Anolis sagrei: one gene and its partner. Each later gene encodes a partner of the first gene's protein in a complex. Links are inferred from orthologs where the notes say so. Each region holds a gene or a part of one and is shown on either strand. Other genes may lie near its edges.

Evidence for each region.
Region 2: the proteins of XPO1 (region 1) and PKIA are in contact, whole or in part, in an NMR structure (PDB 2L1L), measured with the Homo sapiens proteins. The link is inferred for Anolis sagrei from reciprocal best matches to the Homo sapiens genes XPO1 and PKIA. Residues at the interface, in NP_003391.1 of Homo sapiens: Val518, Lys522, Leu525, Cys528, Glu529, Lys534, Lys537, Ala538, Ala541, Ile544, Phe554, His558, Lys560, Phe561, Thr564, Lys568, Phe572, Glu575, Thr576, Val580; in NP_006814.1 of Homo sapiens: Asn36, Leu38, Ala39, Lys41, Leu42, Ala43, Gly44, Leu45, Asp46, Ile47, Asn48, Glu51.

The regions. Positions count from the first base shown.
Region 1 is NC_090021.1:12,220,003-12,227,095, reverse strand, and holds the start of XPO1 (exportin-1), read right to left. Parts: upstream 3,007-7,093; 5' UTR 2,364-3,006; intron 154-2,363; exon of another isoform or gene 1-153. UniProt on the Homo sapiens protein: Mediates the nuclear export of cellular proteins (cargos) bearing a leucine-rich nuclear export signal (NES) and of RNAs.
Region 2 is NC_090024.1:40,119,791-40,127,246, forward strand, and holds the start of PKIA (cAMP-dependent protein kinase inhibitor alpha), read right to left. Parts: upstream 3,012-7,456; 5' UTR 2,897-3,011; intron 2,620-2,896; exon of another isoform or gene 2,401-2,619; intron 1,657-2,400; exon of another isoform or gene 1,514-1,656; intron 1-1,513. UniProt on the Homo sapiens protein: Extremely potent competitive inhibitor of cAMP-dependent protein kinase activity, this protein interacts with the catalytic subunit of the enzyme after the cAMP-induced dissociation of its regulatory chains.

The DNA.
Region 1 (7,093 bases):
CAACACACAACCTCACACCCGACACAAAAGAGAGGTGTCTCCTTCTGATTTCACGTGAGGCCCAGAAGTCTGGTTCCTTTTTTTCATTCAAAAAATAATTAAATTGTCACATACACACTTCTCTGTTTCTCTCAAACAAACAACGAGCCAAACCTACCAAAAAAAAAAAGAAGAGAAAAAAGATGGAGTAAAATAATAATAGGGCGACTCACACAAACTGGAGAGAAAAAATGCACATGGAAGTCAAGTCACTTTCCTAGCAAAGTTGCAAACACACCTACAACTTGGGCCAGGCCTTTGCCATTCATTCAAACAGATGTAACACCCTTATTTTCCCCAAATAAAACACAGGCAGAAAAATTGGGGTGTGTTTGAGGCCTATGTAGAGTTAGATCTCAAAGGGAGGAAAAAGCAAAGTCTCCACCCGTTTTCACTCTCCCGCTCTTTATGAAAAAAAGTGCAGAAAGGATGTTCCTGCTACACCTCTTTTTTCCTTCTCTCTCACACACCCCAATCTATGTGTATATATAACTATATTTTAAAAAATCAATCCACAATATCTTAGCCTCTCTTTCCAAAGCAATGCTGGAAGTTGAAAGCCAACCCTGGGGAAATGTTTGGGGCCTTTTGCAAACACACACACTGAAGAATACAGATATATAGAGCTATACAGATATATATTTCTTCAGAAAGCTGACTTCCCTGCCAACAACCCTACTAGCCTTTCTTTCCAAAGCAATGAAGTTGAAAGCCAACCTTGGGGAAAGGTTTGGGGCCTACAGCAAAAATGCACACTGGAGGATATATAGATAGATATTTCTTCAGGAAGCTGACTTCCCTGCCAACAACTCTATGGTTAAAATACTGGAAGTTGAAAGCCAACCTTGGGGAAAGGTCTGGGGCCTTTAGCAAACATACACACTGAAGGATATCAATCTACATATACATACATACACATAGATATATAGGTATTACTTCAGAAAGCTGACTTCCCTGCCTCTCTAATATCTATTTCTTCAGAAAACTCTTTGCAAAAACACACTGAAGGATAGATCTATAGATAGCTATATTCTTCAGAAATCTGCCAACAACCTTACTAGTATCTCAAAGCAATGCTGAAAGTTGAAAGTCAGCTTTGGGGGGAAAATGGGTCTTTAGCAAAAACACACTGAAGGATATATAGATCTATATTTCTTCAGAGAGCTGACTTCCTTGCCAACAACTCTATGGTTGAAATGCTTGGGGAAAGGCTTGGGGCCTATAGCAAACACATACACACTGAAGGATCTATCTATATGATATATATATATATATATATATCTTTAGAAAGCTCTGCAAAAAACACACTGAAGGATATATAGATATATTTTCAGAAAGCTGATTTTTCTGCTACTCTTATAGTTATATTTTCAGAAAGACTTTTGCAAAAACACACAGAAGGGTATGTATTTCTCCAGAAAGCTGACTTTTCTGCCTAACAGATACTTATATTTTCAGAAAACTCTTTGCAAAAACACACTGAAGGATATATATATATATATATATATATATATATATTTCTTCAGAAAGCTGACTTTTCTGCTTCTCTCTCTAATAGATACTTCTATTTTCAGAAAGCTTTTTGCAAAAACACACTGAAGGATATCTATAGATAGATATTTAGATATATATTTCTTCAGAAAGCTGACTTTTCTCCTTCTCTCTCTAATAAGATACTTATATTTTCAGAAAACTCTTTGCAAAAACACACTGAAGGATAGATAGTTCTCCAGAAAGCTGACTTTTCTCCTTCTCTCTAATAGATACTCATATTTTCAGAAAGTCTTTTGCAAAAACACACTGAAGAATATATATTTCTCCAGAAAGCTGACTTTTCTGCTTCTCTCTCTAATAGATGCTTATATTTTCAGAAAGCTCTTTGCAAAAACACACTGAATGATATATATTTCTCCAGAAAGCTGACTTTTCTGCTTCTCTCTCTAATATACTTATATTTTCAGAAAACCTTTTGCAAAAACACACTGAAGTATAGATATTTCTCTAGAAAGCTGACTTTTCTGCCTCTCTGATATCTATATTTTCAAAAAGCTCTTTGCAAAAACACACTGAAGGATAGATATTTCTCCAGAAAGCTGACTTTTCTGCCTCTCTCTTTCTTTCCAATAGATATCTGTTTCCCTCCAGAAAGCAGAAGCCACGCTGACCCCTGAAGCCCAACCTCTTCCTCAGAGAGGCCTGTGCAAACACACCCCAGTACTCCCCTCAACGAGGAGGAGGAGGTTGAGGTTTGTGAGGAAAAGAGGGAGAAAAACCCGCCCCAGAAAAAGAAACAACACACAACTCCCAGAAAGAGATCTGCTCACCTCAATTTTTTCCTCTTTTTGTGTGTGAGTGTGTGTGTGTATTTTCCCCCTTTCAGAGGGGAGAAGAAGAGGAGGAAGAACAAGAGTGTAAAATAGGAATCCCACCCCCAACCAGCACAAACTCTTTCCACCAACACACCCCTCTCTCTCACACACAGACACACATACACACCTTCCTCCCCTCAGTCCTCCTCCATGGCGCCTGCTGTTCCCCTCACAGGGAGATAGATACAAACACAACACACACCTGGCCTTGTTGTTGTTGTGGTAAACAACACACAACACACACACCTGGCCTTGTTGTTGTGGTGAACCCCCCTTCTCCTCTCCCTCTTCCTCCTCCTGCCAATCTTGCTTCTCTCTCTCACACACACACACGCCTCCTTCTTCTCCTCACTCACTCCCTCCTCTCATCCACTCTCTCCCTCCTTCTCTTTTCCTCCTTCTCCTTCTTCTTCCCCCGTGGCTTCGTGCTTCGCCTTCCGCTCTTTTCCCCTCAGCCCTCCCCCTCCTCCTCTTCTACTGCCACAGACTCGGAACCGGCTCAAACCGGTTCAGACTGGGAGATTCCATCTCGGTTTAGTTTTCAGCCCATGGCGCCTCGGCGGAGCGAGCGAGGCAGGCCGGCCCCGCCCCCCCGGAAACCGCCCCGCCGCCCCATTGGCTGCCCGCGCCGATGACGGGACAAGGGGAGGGCCAGGCACAGACGCCGCTCGCCATTGGACGGCCCGCACGCCCGTCTTCCTTCCCTCACTCCCTCCCGCCCGCCTCCGATAGCGTCTTCTCATTGGCTGGCTGGTCTGCCCGTCTTGGATGCGTTCCTTCCCCTCTATATTAATCCCCAGCATTGTTAACCCCGCCTCTCTCTTTCTAACGTTCTATCATTGGCTGGCTGGTCTGCCCGTCTTGGATCTTTCCCTCCCCTCTCTACTAATCCCCAACATAGTTAACCCCGCCTCTCTCTTTCTAACGTTCTATTATTGGCTGGAAGGCCTGCCCGTCTTAGATCTGTCACTCCCCTCTCCCTGCTCGTCTTGGATGCTTTCCCTCCTCTCTCCCCTCTCCCCTCTATATTAATCCCTAACATTGTTAACCCCGCCTCTCTCTTTCTAGCGTTCTATCATTGGCTGGCTGGCCTGCCCGTCTTGGATGGTTTCCCTCCCCTCTCTACTAATGCCTAACATTGTTAACCCCGCCTCTCTCTTTCTAACGTTCTAGCATTGGGTGGCTGGCCTGCCCGTCTTGGATCTTTCACTCCCCTCTCTATTACTCCCCAACATTGTTAGCCCCGCCTCTCTCTTTCTAGTGTTCTATCATTGGCTGGCCGGCCTGCCCGTCTTAGATCTGTCACTCCCCTCTCCCTGCTCGTCTTTGATGCTTTCCCTCCCCTCTATATTAATCCCCACCATAGTTAACCCCGCCTCTCTCTTTCTAACGTTCTAGCATTGGCTGGCTGGTCTGCCCGTCTTATATCTTTCACTCCCCTCTGTATTAATCCCTAACATAGTTAACCCCGCCTCTCTCTTTCTAACGTTCTATCATTGGCTGGCTGGCTTGCCTGTCTTTGATGCTTTCCCTCCCCTCTGTATTCATCCTTAACATTGTTAACCCCGCCTCTCTCTTCCTAGTGTTCTATCATTGGCTGGCTGGCTTGCCTGTCTTGGATGCTTTCCCTCCCCTCTGTATTCATCCTTAACATTGTTAACCCCGCCTCTCTCTTTCTAGTGTTCTATCATTGGCTGGCTGGCTTGCCTGTCTTATCCCTTTCACGCCCGTCTTGGATACTTTCCCTCCCCTCTGTATTAATCCCCAACATTGTAAACCCCGCCTCTCTCTTTCTAACGTTCTATCATTGGTTGGCCTGCCTGCCCGTCTTGGATCTGTCACTCCCCTCTCTATTAATCCCTAACATTGTTAACCCCGCCCCTGCTCGTCTTGGATGCTTTCCCTCTCTATTAATCCCTAACATTGTTAACCCCGCCTCTCTCTTTCTAGTGTTCTATCATTGGCTGGCTGGCCTGCCCGTCTTAGATCTTTCACTCCCCTCTCTATTAATCCCTAACATTGTTAACCCCGCCTCTCTTTCTTTAGCAGTCTCTCATTGGCTGGCTGGCCTGCCCGTCTTGGATGCTTTCCCTCCCCTCTCTAGTAATATCTAACATTGTTAACCCCGCCTCTCTTTCTCTAGCGGTCTATCATTGGCTGGCCGGCCTGCCCGTCTTGGATCTGTCACTCCCCTCTCTATTAATCCCTAACATTGTTAACCCCGAGACATCTCCAGCTCATCCCCTGTTTGGGTATCAGCCAGCACGCCAACGGCTTAAATCCAGACATAGTTTTCTAAGATCTACAGAGACACTCGCTGGAACACCTCAGCAAGCGAGAGTCCAAAAGTGGCAGGCTCAAACCCAGAATCTCAACCAATGGCTGATACCAAATGAGAAACTCCTCCCTGGGCACACAGAGGACCGGGCGACTTGGAAGGTGCTGAACAGACTGCGCTCTGGCACCACGAGATGCAGAGCCAACCTTCAGAAATGGGGCCACAAAGTGGAGTCCACGACATGCGAGTGTGGAGAGGAGCAAACCACTGACCACCTGCTGCAGTGCAACCTGAGCCCAGCCACATGCTCAATGGAGGACCTTCTTGCAGCAACACCAGAGGCACTCCAAGTGGCCAGATACTGGTCAAAGGACATTTAATCAACTACCAAACTCACACATTTTGTATTTTCTCTGTTTGTTTGCTTTGTTCTGTTAGAAATGTAATATAATTGACTGGCTGCCCTGACACGAGAAATAAAAAATAAACCCCCGACAGATGGCCATCCAGCCTCTGTTTAAGAGCTTCCAAAGAAGGAGCCTCCACCACACTCCGGGGCAGAGAGTTCCACTGCTGAACAGTTCTCACAGTCAGAGAGTTCTTCCTCATGCTCAGATGGAATCTCCTTTCTTGTAGTTTGAAGGCATTGTTCCATTGCGTCCTAGTCTCCAAGGAAGCAGAAAACAAGCTTGCTCCTTCCTCCCTGTGGCTTCCTCTCACATATTCATACATGGCTATCATATCTCCTCTCAGCCTTCTCTTCTTCAGGCTAAAGATGCCCAGCTCCTTAAGCCGCTCCTCATAGGGCTTGTTCTATCTTTCACTCCCCTCTCTATTACTATCTAACATTGTTTACCCTGCCTCTCTTTCTCTAGCGGGTTTGCCTGTCTGGGATGCTTTCACTCCCCTCTGTATTAATCCCTAACATTGTTAACCCCGCCTCTCTTTCTCTAGCGGTCTATCATTGGCTGGCTTGCCTGTCCGTCTTGGATGCATTCCCTCCCCTCTCTATTAATCCCTAACATTGTTAACCCCGCCTCTCTTTTTTCTAGCGTTCTATCATTGGCTGGCCGGCCTGCCCGTCTTGCTCTTTTACCCGCCTCTCCAACGAGCGCGCTAATTATTAACCACGCCCCTTTTTTTCTAGCGGTCTATCATTGGCTGGCCGCCCTGCCCGTCTTCCTTTTTTACCCGCCTCTCTATTCATTCTATGCTTTCGCGCCCTTCTCCACCGAGCGCGCCTAGATTGTAAACCCCGCCCCTTTTTTCTAGCTGTCTATCATTGGCTGGCTGGCCGGTCCATCTTGCTCTTTGACCCGCCTCCCTATTAATTGTATGCTTTGACGCCCTTCTCCACCGAGCGCGCTCAAATTGTTAACCCCGCCCCTCTTTTTTTCTATTGGTTGATCGGCCTGCCCGTCTTGGTTGCTTTCACACCCCTCTCCATTGATCGCGAAGATTGTAAACCCCGCCCCTCTTTTTTCTACAGGTCTATTATTGGCTGACTGGCCTGCCCGTCTTTTCCCGCCTCTCTATTAAACCCTCCTCTCCGCCGAGCGCGCCGAGGTTGTAAACCCCGCCCATTTTTAATACCGGTTTATCATTGGCTGGCTGACCTGCCCGTCTTACTCTTTTTCCCGCCTCTTCATTAACTGTATGCTGTCACTCCCTTCTCCACTGAGCGCGCCAGGATTGTAAAACCCGCCCCTTTCTAATACAGATCTATCATTGGCTGAACGGCCTGTCCGTTTTGCTTTTTTCCCCCCTCTCTACCCAGCGCGCGGGGATTGTTGGCTCCTCCCCTTTATTTCTAAGAGAAAGACAAGGGAGGGGGTGGCAAAGCGAGGGAGTTGGAAGGGCCCCGCTTGATTGGCTCGCCCCCGCTGTCTGTCTTCCATGTAGTCCCGCCCCTTCTGTAGCGCTTGCCTCAAATAGCATAATCTCGCGGGCGAAGTGGCGGTCCTCGTGCCTGTGCTCTGATTGGCTGGCAACTTTCAATGACGTCATTGGCAGGAAAAAAGAGGGGAAGGAAAGAAAAAGGAAGGAAAAGGAAGGAACTTATGAATTATAAATTATTTTTATTTTATTATTATTGCGTATATTATTATATAATAATATAATATATAATAATATATATATTATTATATTAAGTTATATATAAATATAAATATTATTATCTAATAATATATATTATTATATTAAATTATATATAAATATAGATTATAAAATAGATCTATAATTTTTGTGCATTGGCATAATCATATTAATACTAATATTCTTCTGTGCTAATAATATAGTGTAAACACATATAATATTGAAAATATAATGTAATATAATATAATATAATACTAATAATAATACAATAGAATAATTTTATATTTCATATTAAAAGTACAATATAGTAATA
Region 2 (7,456 bases), on another chromosome or scaffold:
TTATCACATTTTCAAGAAATAGATATTACCACCCAAAGACTGCCCCACACCCACCCCAAAAAGCAACAACAACCCACTCTCATTAGGTCCAGAGTCTAAAACTATCCAACTGCGACACAAGTCTCAGATCCAAGTTCTGGAATGCATTCCTCAAACAGCTTCTAGCATCCATATCCACCATGAACTTCCACATGACTGGCACAGCTGCTATGACATTTTTCAACTATCATGTATTATGTAGGAAGCAAAGGCAAGTATGCTGTCCTTTTGGAGGGGGTGTAGTGAAAATACAGTGTCATTAATAGGAACTTTCAGACTGGAAACAGAAAAGGATGGAGGGAAAGTGAGGGAAGTCCACTGGTTTTCTGCTGCCCTGGAGACTAGGACACGGAACAATGGCTTCAAACTACAGGAAAGGAGATTCCACCTGAACATTAGGAAGAACTTCCTAACTGTGAAACCTGTTCAGCAGTGGCACTCTCTTCCCAGAGTGTGGTGGGGGCTCTTTCTTTGGAGGCTTTTAAGCAGAGGCTGAATGGCCATCTGTCAGGGGTTCTTTGAATGTGAATTTCCTGCTTCCTGGCAGGGGGTTGGACTGGATGGCCCACAAGGTCTCTTCCGACTCTAGGATTCTATGTAGTCAAGGGACAAAGGTAGCCAAGGCCACCCCCTCCCATGCCCCTTGACCTGCATGGCAGTGGGTTGGATTGGATAGCCTATGTGGGCGCTTCCAACTCTAGGATTCTATGACTTGTGCCTGTCATAGCTCACAGTTTGGATATTGATGTACCTAAGGCAAACCTTTCACAGGATTTTGAGGAACCTGATATAACCTTTAGCCCACGGATGGGCAAACTTGAGATCTCCAGGTATTTTGGGCTTCAACCCCCAAAATTTGTAACAGCCGGTAGTATATATGTATAGCAGGTGTGGGTAAGCTTGAGCCCTCCAGGTGTTTTGGACATCATCTCCCACAATTCCTAACAGCTGGTAGTATAGATATATAGCAGGTGTGGGCAAGCTTGAGCCCTCCCAGGTGTTTAGGACATCAACTCCCACAATTCCTAACAACCAGTAGTATATGTATAGCTGCTGTGGGCAAGCTTGGGTCCTCCAAGTGTTTTGGACATCAACTCCCACAATTCCTAACAGCTGGTAGTATATATGTATAGCAGGTGTGGGCAAGCTTGGGCCCTCCAGGTGTTTTAGACTTCAACTCCCACAATTCCTAAAAGCCTTAGGCCCCTTCATTTCCCCCCTCTGCCACTTAAGGGGGAAGGAAGGGGCCTGAGGCTGTTAGGAATGGTGGGAGTTGAAGTCCAAAACACCTGGAGGGCCCAACCTTGCCCATGCTAGAATTAGCCCATTCCTTGGTTACTGTTGTCCCTCAGACAGGAGAACCTCTCACTGGGTTTTCTGAGGCTAAGCCTGTGCGACTTGGACAAGGTCACCCAATGGCTTCCCATACTCATCTCCAGAGTCCAAGGCTCAAGCCTGACCCTGGTTTGCCTACCTTCAAGTGAACTGAAGTGGAGCAGTCCCAGGTGCCATCTTTTAAGCACCGCCACCCTTTAGTCCTTTTGGCTGCAGCTGGCTCCTGCCTTGGATGCCATCCCACAGGAGCACCATGGAAACCCACTCAGGGCTTTGGGTTGGCTAGAAAAAGGGGAGGAAAAAGAGCCAGGGTCAGTGTGCCTTGAGGCCAGATCGGCAGCTCCCTCCCCTCTCAAGGCAGGCAAGCAAAGAAGGAGACCCGCAGCCCACTTCTTCCCTCCCTCTCTGCAGACTTTGGGCTATTTTTAGGCAGCAGAGCAAACAAGCGCTGTCCCCCAGAGCAGGAGGAGGAGGAGGAGGAGGAGGAGGAGGAGGAGGGGGGCAGACCCACGTCGGGCAGAGAAGGGGAGGAGGAGAAAGCATCCGCAGAGCCAGGGGTGCGTTGCTCCTCGGAGAGCAAGGCTTTGGCGACCTCCTGCTGTCCCTGACAAGAGCCAACGGGGAAGGGAGGCGGGAGGGAAAGGGCGACAGCTGGGCACCCCCCCCCCTTCTCCCTCTCTCCCAGCTTGGCTTCCCACCCAGAAGGGAAGCGGCCAACCGCAGCCTTCCTTTCTCCGCTCCTTCCTTCCTTCCTTTCCCTCCCTCCTCTCCCCGCCCGCGAGGGAACCATTCCGACGTGCTCGCGCCCCCGCGGGCTTGACACGTGTTGCGGGCCCGCGCTCCCACATCCAGCCTTCCCTGGCGCCCATCTGGCTCCGCTGCCATTATAATCCATCTTGGAATATGGCCAGTTTGAACCGCATTATAGGAGCCAGCACTGAGAGTGCTTCAAACTGCACTGCATGGCAATGTAGACGGGGTCCCTGCCTTCCTTCGGCTTCGGCCGTCTTTGCAAAGCCCACTCACCTTCCTCGAGGGGAGGGTCACGGCGTTGCGTTCGTTTCCCCAAAACGAAGGGGGAAAATGGGCTTCAGAGAATGCAACCCTCCTTTTCCTCCTCCTCTTCCTCCGGCTGCGGTTTTACACTGCTCTGCTTGCCCTTTCCCCAGCATCCAGCTGCAGCCGCTGAGCCCAAACCCACCGCGCTCCACTGAAGTCATCCCGCTCCTCCTCCTCCTCCTCAGTCCTCCCCTCCCTCCTCCCACCCGTGGATCACTGCATTTGGCTCCCACGCAATGAGGAGAGGGAAAGGCTTCACGAGAGGGCAATGAAGCAAGTCTTTAATGCCCCCCTTCCTCCTCCAAGGCTGAATTCCAGGACTAGGGCTGTGCTTTTCCCGCCCTGGCTAGCCCCCCCCCCCCCCCGCCAGGTGTCACGTTACATCTTCCCGTCTCTGGGAAAGCATGAAGAAACCATACTGGGAATGCCCCCCCCCCCCCAATAAAGATGTGAGCCTCCCTACCTCCTTTTGCGCCGGCTTTGGAGCCGCGGAGGGTCTTTCCTTGGAGTGCCCTCGGCCCCCCCTGCCCGTTAAGCCCGACCTGATGGAACGTGTATTTGGAAAGGGAGGGAGGGAGGGAGGGAGGGAGGGGGGAGCCTTCAGCTTCCACTTCGATTTTTTAAAGGGGAAGCAGCCGATTGGCCGCGAGAGGCGATCAGATTGTGACGCGCAAAGAGCCTTCGCCCCTCCTATTTTTCTCCCACCCGAGAGAGCGGGGCCTGGAACCAGGGAGAGGGGAGAGGAGGGGGACACAACGCACACACACTCCAGGGAGAGGGGAGGGGGCAGCGTGGGGACTTCGTACACTGCTGGTTTCCATTCCCAGAGGGTTTAGCTATTAGAGCATGTGGGCTTGGGGAGCTAGTTAGCATCCAACACTTACAGGCAGCTCTACCGCATTCCGCTGCATTTCTAGACCAGGCTTCAATGCTATACCTCAGACATGAGCAAATTTGGGCCCTCCAGGTGTTTTGGACTACAACTCCCACCATTCCTAACAGCCTCAGGCCCCTTCCTTTCCCCCCTCAGCTGCTTAAGGAAGGGGCCTGCGTCTATTAGAATTGGTGGGAGTTGAAATACAAAACACTGGAGGGTCCAAGTTTGCCCACGCCTGCTATACATACGAGGGTTGAATTAAAAGTTATGCCTCCACCTTCGGAACTCCTCACTAGATGGCAGTACTGTGCGCAGCAGGTACTGACTTGTTCAGTAGACTCTCCTCTACAGTTCCATTTTGGTGGGAAGCCTTAGTTAAACCTTTGTGCCCGCAGGACTCCTGACCAAAAGGTCGGCGGGTTTGAATCCAGTGAGCAGGATGAGCTTCCATCTGTCAGCTCCAGCTTCCCATGTGTAGTCCAACACTTAGTTAAACCTTTGTGCCGGCAGGACTCCTGACCAAAAGGTTGGCGGGTTTGAATCCAGTGAGCAGGGTGAGCTCCCATCTGTCAGCTCCAGCTTCCTATGTGGGGTCATGAGAGAAGCCTCCTACAGGATGGTAAAACATCCGGGCGTCCCCTGGGCAACATCCTTGCAGACGGCCAATTCTCTCACACCAGAAGTGACCTGCAGTTTCTCAAGTCACTCCTGACATGGAAAAAAAAAGTTTGTCTTGAAGGCTGAAAGAATGGCATGCCCAAGGTCACCTACTGGGTTTCATGGCTGAGCAGGGATTTGAACCCTGATCTCCAAAACTGTAGTCCAACACTCAAACCATTATACCAGTCTGACGCTTCAGGCTAGAATGTTTTGCAGACCTACTGTGAAGCAATACACCGGGGGGGGGGGGGGGGGAGACTTTAATAATATTTGCCACTATTACACCTAACCAAAATCAACCAGTGGAGCTCTTTCAAGTGACCAGGAATCTATTACTGTATATGTAAGCCCACTGTGAACAACTTGCTTGACACTTTACAGACAAAATTGTTTGGGAATTATAAATGATATAAATCCAGTGGAGGTAACTCTAGCCCCTGCTTACCCAGTGACAATGGAATTCTTTTCAGTTTTTGCAACCTAAGGATATGAACAGGATTCATGGAGGAATGAGAGCCACTATAGGTGTGTTAGATATTTGTCCTTTCTGGTGGAGTGGGCACAGGGAGTTGTTGATACCTCTCTAAAACAAGGCAGAGTTGTTAATAACACCAGTATTTACAATAACACAGTTATTTCCCAGCTACAATTATTTACACATTAGATGAGTTATCTAGTTCTATTTCAATCTTATTTCAAGCCTGGGTGTGAGTCAGAGATGGCTTGGGTTGTCTTGACTGATGGCCTATGCCAGGAACTAGACAGGTGGAGTGTATCCCTGTTGGCTCTGCTGGACATTTTAGCAGCTTTCAGCAGATATATTTCAGGGATGAGACTTGGAAGTGCTGTTTTACAGCAGGTTTATTTTTCCAGTAAGGTGACAAATCCATAAAGTAGTAGTGAGACCTTTCTTTTTGACCCCTTGGTTGCTGATCTGAGGTTCCTCATGGTTTGGATCTGCCCTCCAATACTGCTTGGAGATGTCATTGGGGGTTTTGGGGCCTGGTGTCATCAGTATGCACGTGATACTTAACCATATTTCTCCTTTTCACAAAGCAGGAAGCCCTTTCAGTCCTAATATTTTGCCTGTTGTCAGTAATAGATTGGATGAGAGCAAGCAAACTTGAATTCTCATCTAGACATGGCAGAGGTGTTCCCATTCAGTAAAAGAATATGGGTTCAGCGTATTCTGGATAGGGTTACACAATATCTGTTTAAGACACAAGCCTGAAGTCTGAGTGCACTCCTGGACTCAACCCTGAATCTAGAAGCTCAGGTTTTGGCAGTAGCAAAAATTTGGCAGAAATTAAAATTTCTGTACACCTGCAACCATTCCTAGAGATGTTGGATCTGGCCACAGGTACACACTGTTGGATCTGGCCACACTTTACCCATTCCGATTACTGTAATATTTTCTATGTGTAACTGCCTTTGAGGAATATTTGAAAATGTCAGTGAGTGAAAAGTTGCAGACATATTGTTAGCCATGGAACACTTACTTACTTACTTTACTTAGGCGATCCCTCGTTGGACGAGTAAGATGGTCTTCCATTATGGATTTCCTTGTGGGTCCGTATGTGGCTGTGGAGCCCTATTCTTGCTCTGCATCTTCTTCCGCAGTGAGGGCATTGGTTTCCAGGTGGAAGGCGGTCCCGGTCGGGGTTGGCTTGACGTGCTTTCCTCCTGGCACGTTTCTCTCTTTCACCCTCCACTCGTGCCTCCTCAAATTCTGCAGCACTGCTGGTCACAGCTGTCCTCCAGCTGGAGCGCTCAAGGACCAGGGCTTCCCAGTTCTCAGTGTCTATGCCAGAGTTTTTAAGGTTGGCTTTGAGCCCATCTTTAAATCTCTTTTCCTGTCCACCAACGTTCCGTTTTCCGTTCTTAAGTTCGGAGTAGAGCAACTGCTTTGGGAGACGGTGGTCAGGCATCTGGACAACGTGGCCGGCCCAGCGGAGTTGATGTTGGAGGACCATCGCTTCAATGCTGGTGGTCTTTGCTTCTTCCAGCACACTGACGTTTGTCCGCTTGTCTTCCCAGGAGATTTGCAGGATTTTCCGGAGGCAGCGCTGATGGAAACGTTCCAGGAGCTGCATGTGACGTCTGTAGACAGTCCACGTCTCACAGGCATAGAGCAGGGTTGGGAGGACAATAGCTTTATAAACAAGCACCTTGGTATCCCTACGGATGTCCCGGTCCTCAAACACTCTCTGCTTCATTCTGGAAAATGCTGCACTTGCAGAGCTCAGGCGGTGTTGTATTTCGGCGTCGATGTTGACTTTGGTGGAGAGGTGGCTGCCAAGGTAGCGGAAATGATCAACATTTTCTAATGTTACACCATTAAGCTGTATCGCTGGCATTGGAGAGGGATTGGCTGGTGACTGCTGGAACAGCACCTTGGTTTTCTCAATGTTCAATGACAGGCCGAGCTTCTCGTATGCTTCTGCAAAGGTGTTTAGAGTGGCTTGTAGATCTTCTTCTGAATGCGCACAGACGACATTGTCATCAGCATACTGGAGTTCTATAACAGATGTTGTTGTAACCTTGGTTTTGGCTTTCAGTCTGCTGAGGTTGAATAGCTTGCCATCTGTCCGATAGATGATTTCCACTCCGGTGGGAAGCTTCCCATCAACAAGGTGAAGTATCATAGCGATGAAGATGGAGAATAGAGTTGGGGCAATAACACATCCCTGTTTGACACCGGATTCCACTTTAAATGGGTCACTTTGGGAGCCACTGCTGTCCAAGACTGTTGCCATCATGTCATCATGGAGGAGCCGCAGGATGTTCACAAATTTGCTTGGGCACCCGATTTTTTGGAGGATGGTCCAGAGAGCGCTGCGATTCACTGTGTCGAATGCCTTTGCAAGGTCGATGAATGCCATGTACAGAGGTTGGTTTTGTTCCCTGCATTTTTCTTGGAGCTGTCGTGCAGTGAAGATCATGTCCACGGTTCCTCTGGAGGGGCGGAAGCCGTTCTGGGATTCTGGGAGGGTGTCTTCTGAGAGGGGCAGAAGGCGGTTTGCAAGGATTCTTGCGAGGATTTTCCCAGCAGAGGTTAGAAGGGAGATACCTCGATAGTTTCCGCAGTCTGTTCTTTCCCCTTTTTTGAAGAGGGTGATGATGGTGGCATCCTTGAAGTCTGCTGGGATTTTCTCGGTCACCCACACTTTTTCTATGAGCTGGTTGAGTTGGTGTGTCAGCTCAGGTCCTCCCTCTTTAAAGATTTCAGCAGGGATCCCATCTGGTCCACTGGCTTTGTTATTCTTCTGTTGGCTGATAGCATTGTTGACTTCTTCCAAACTGGGCAGTGCTGCAAGCTCATCCCTGGTTTGTTGTTGTGGGATTTGTGAGAGGACCTCTTCGGCCACATTGGAGCTGCGGTTCAGGAGGCTTTGGTAGTGTTCTTTCCAACGTAGTGCAATTGAGTTTTGGTTCTTCAGGAGTTTGGTTCCATCTGATGAGCGTAGAGGCTGTATGCCATGGTTT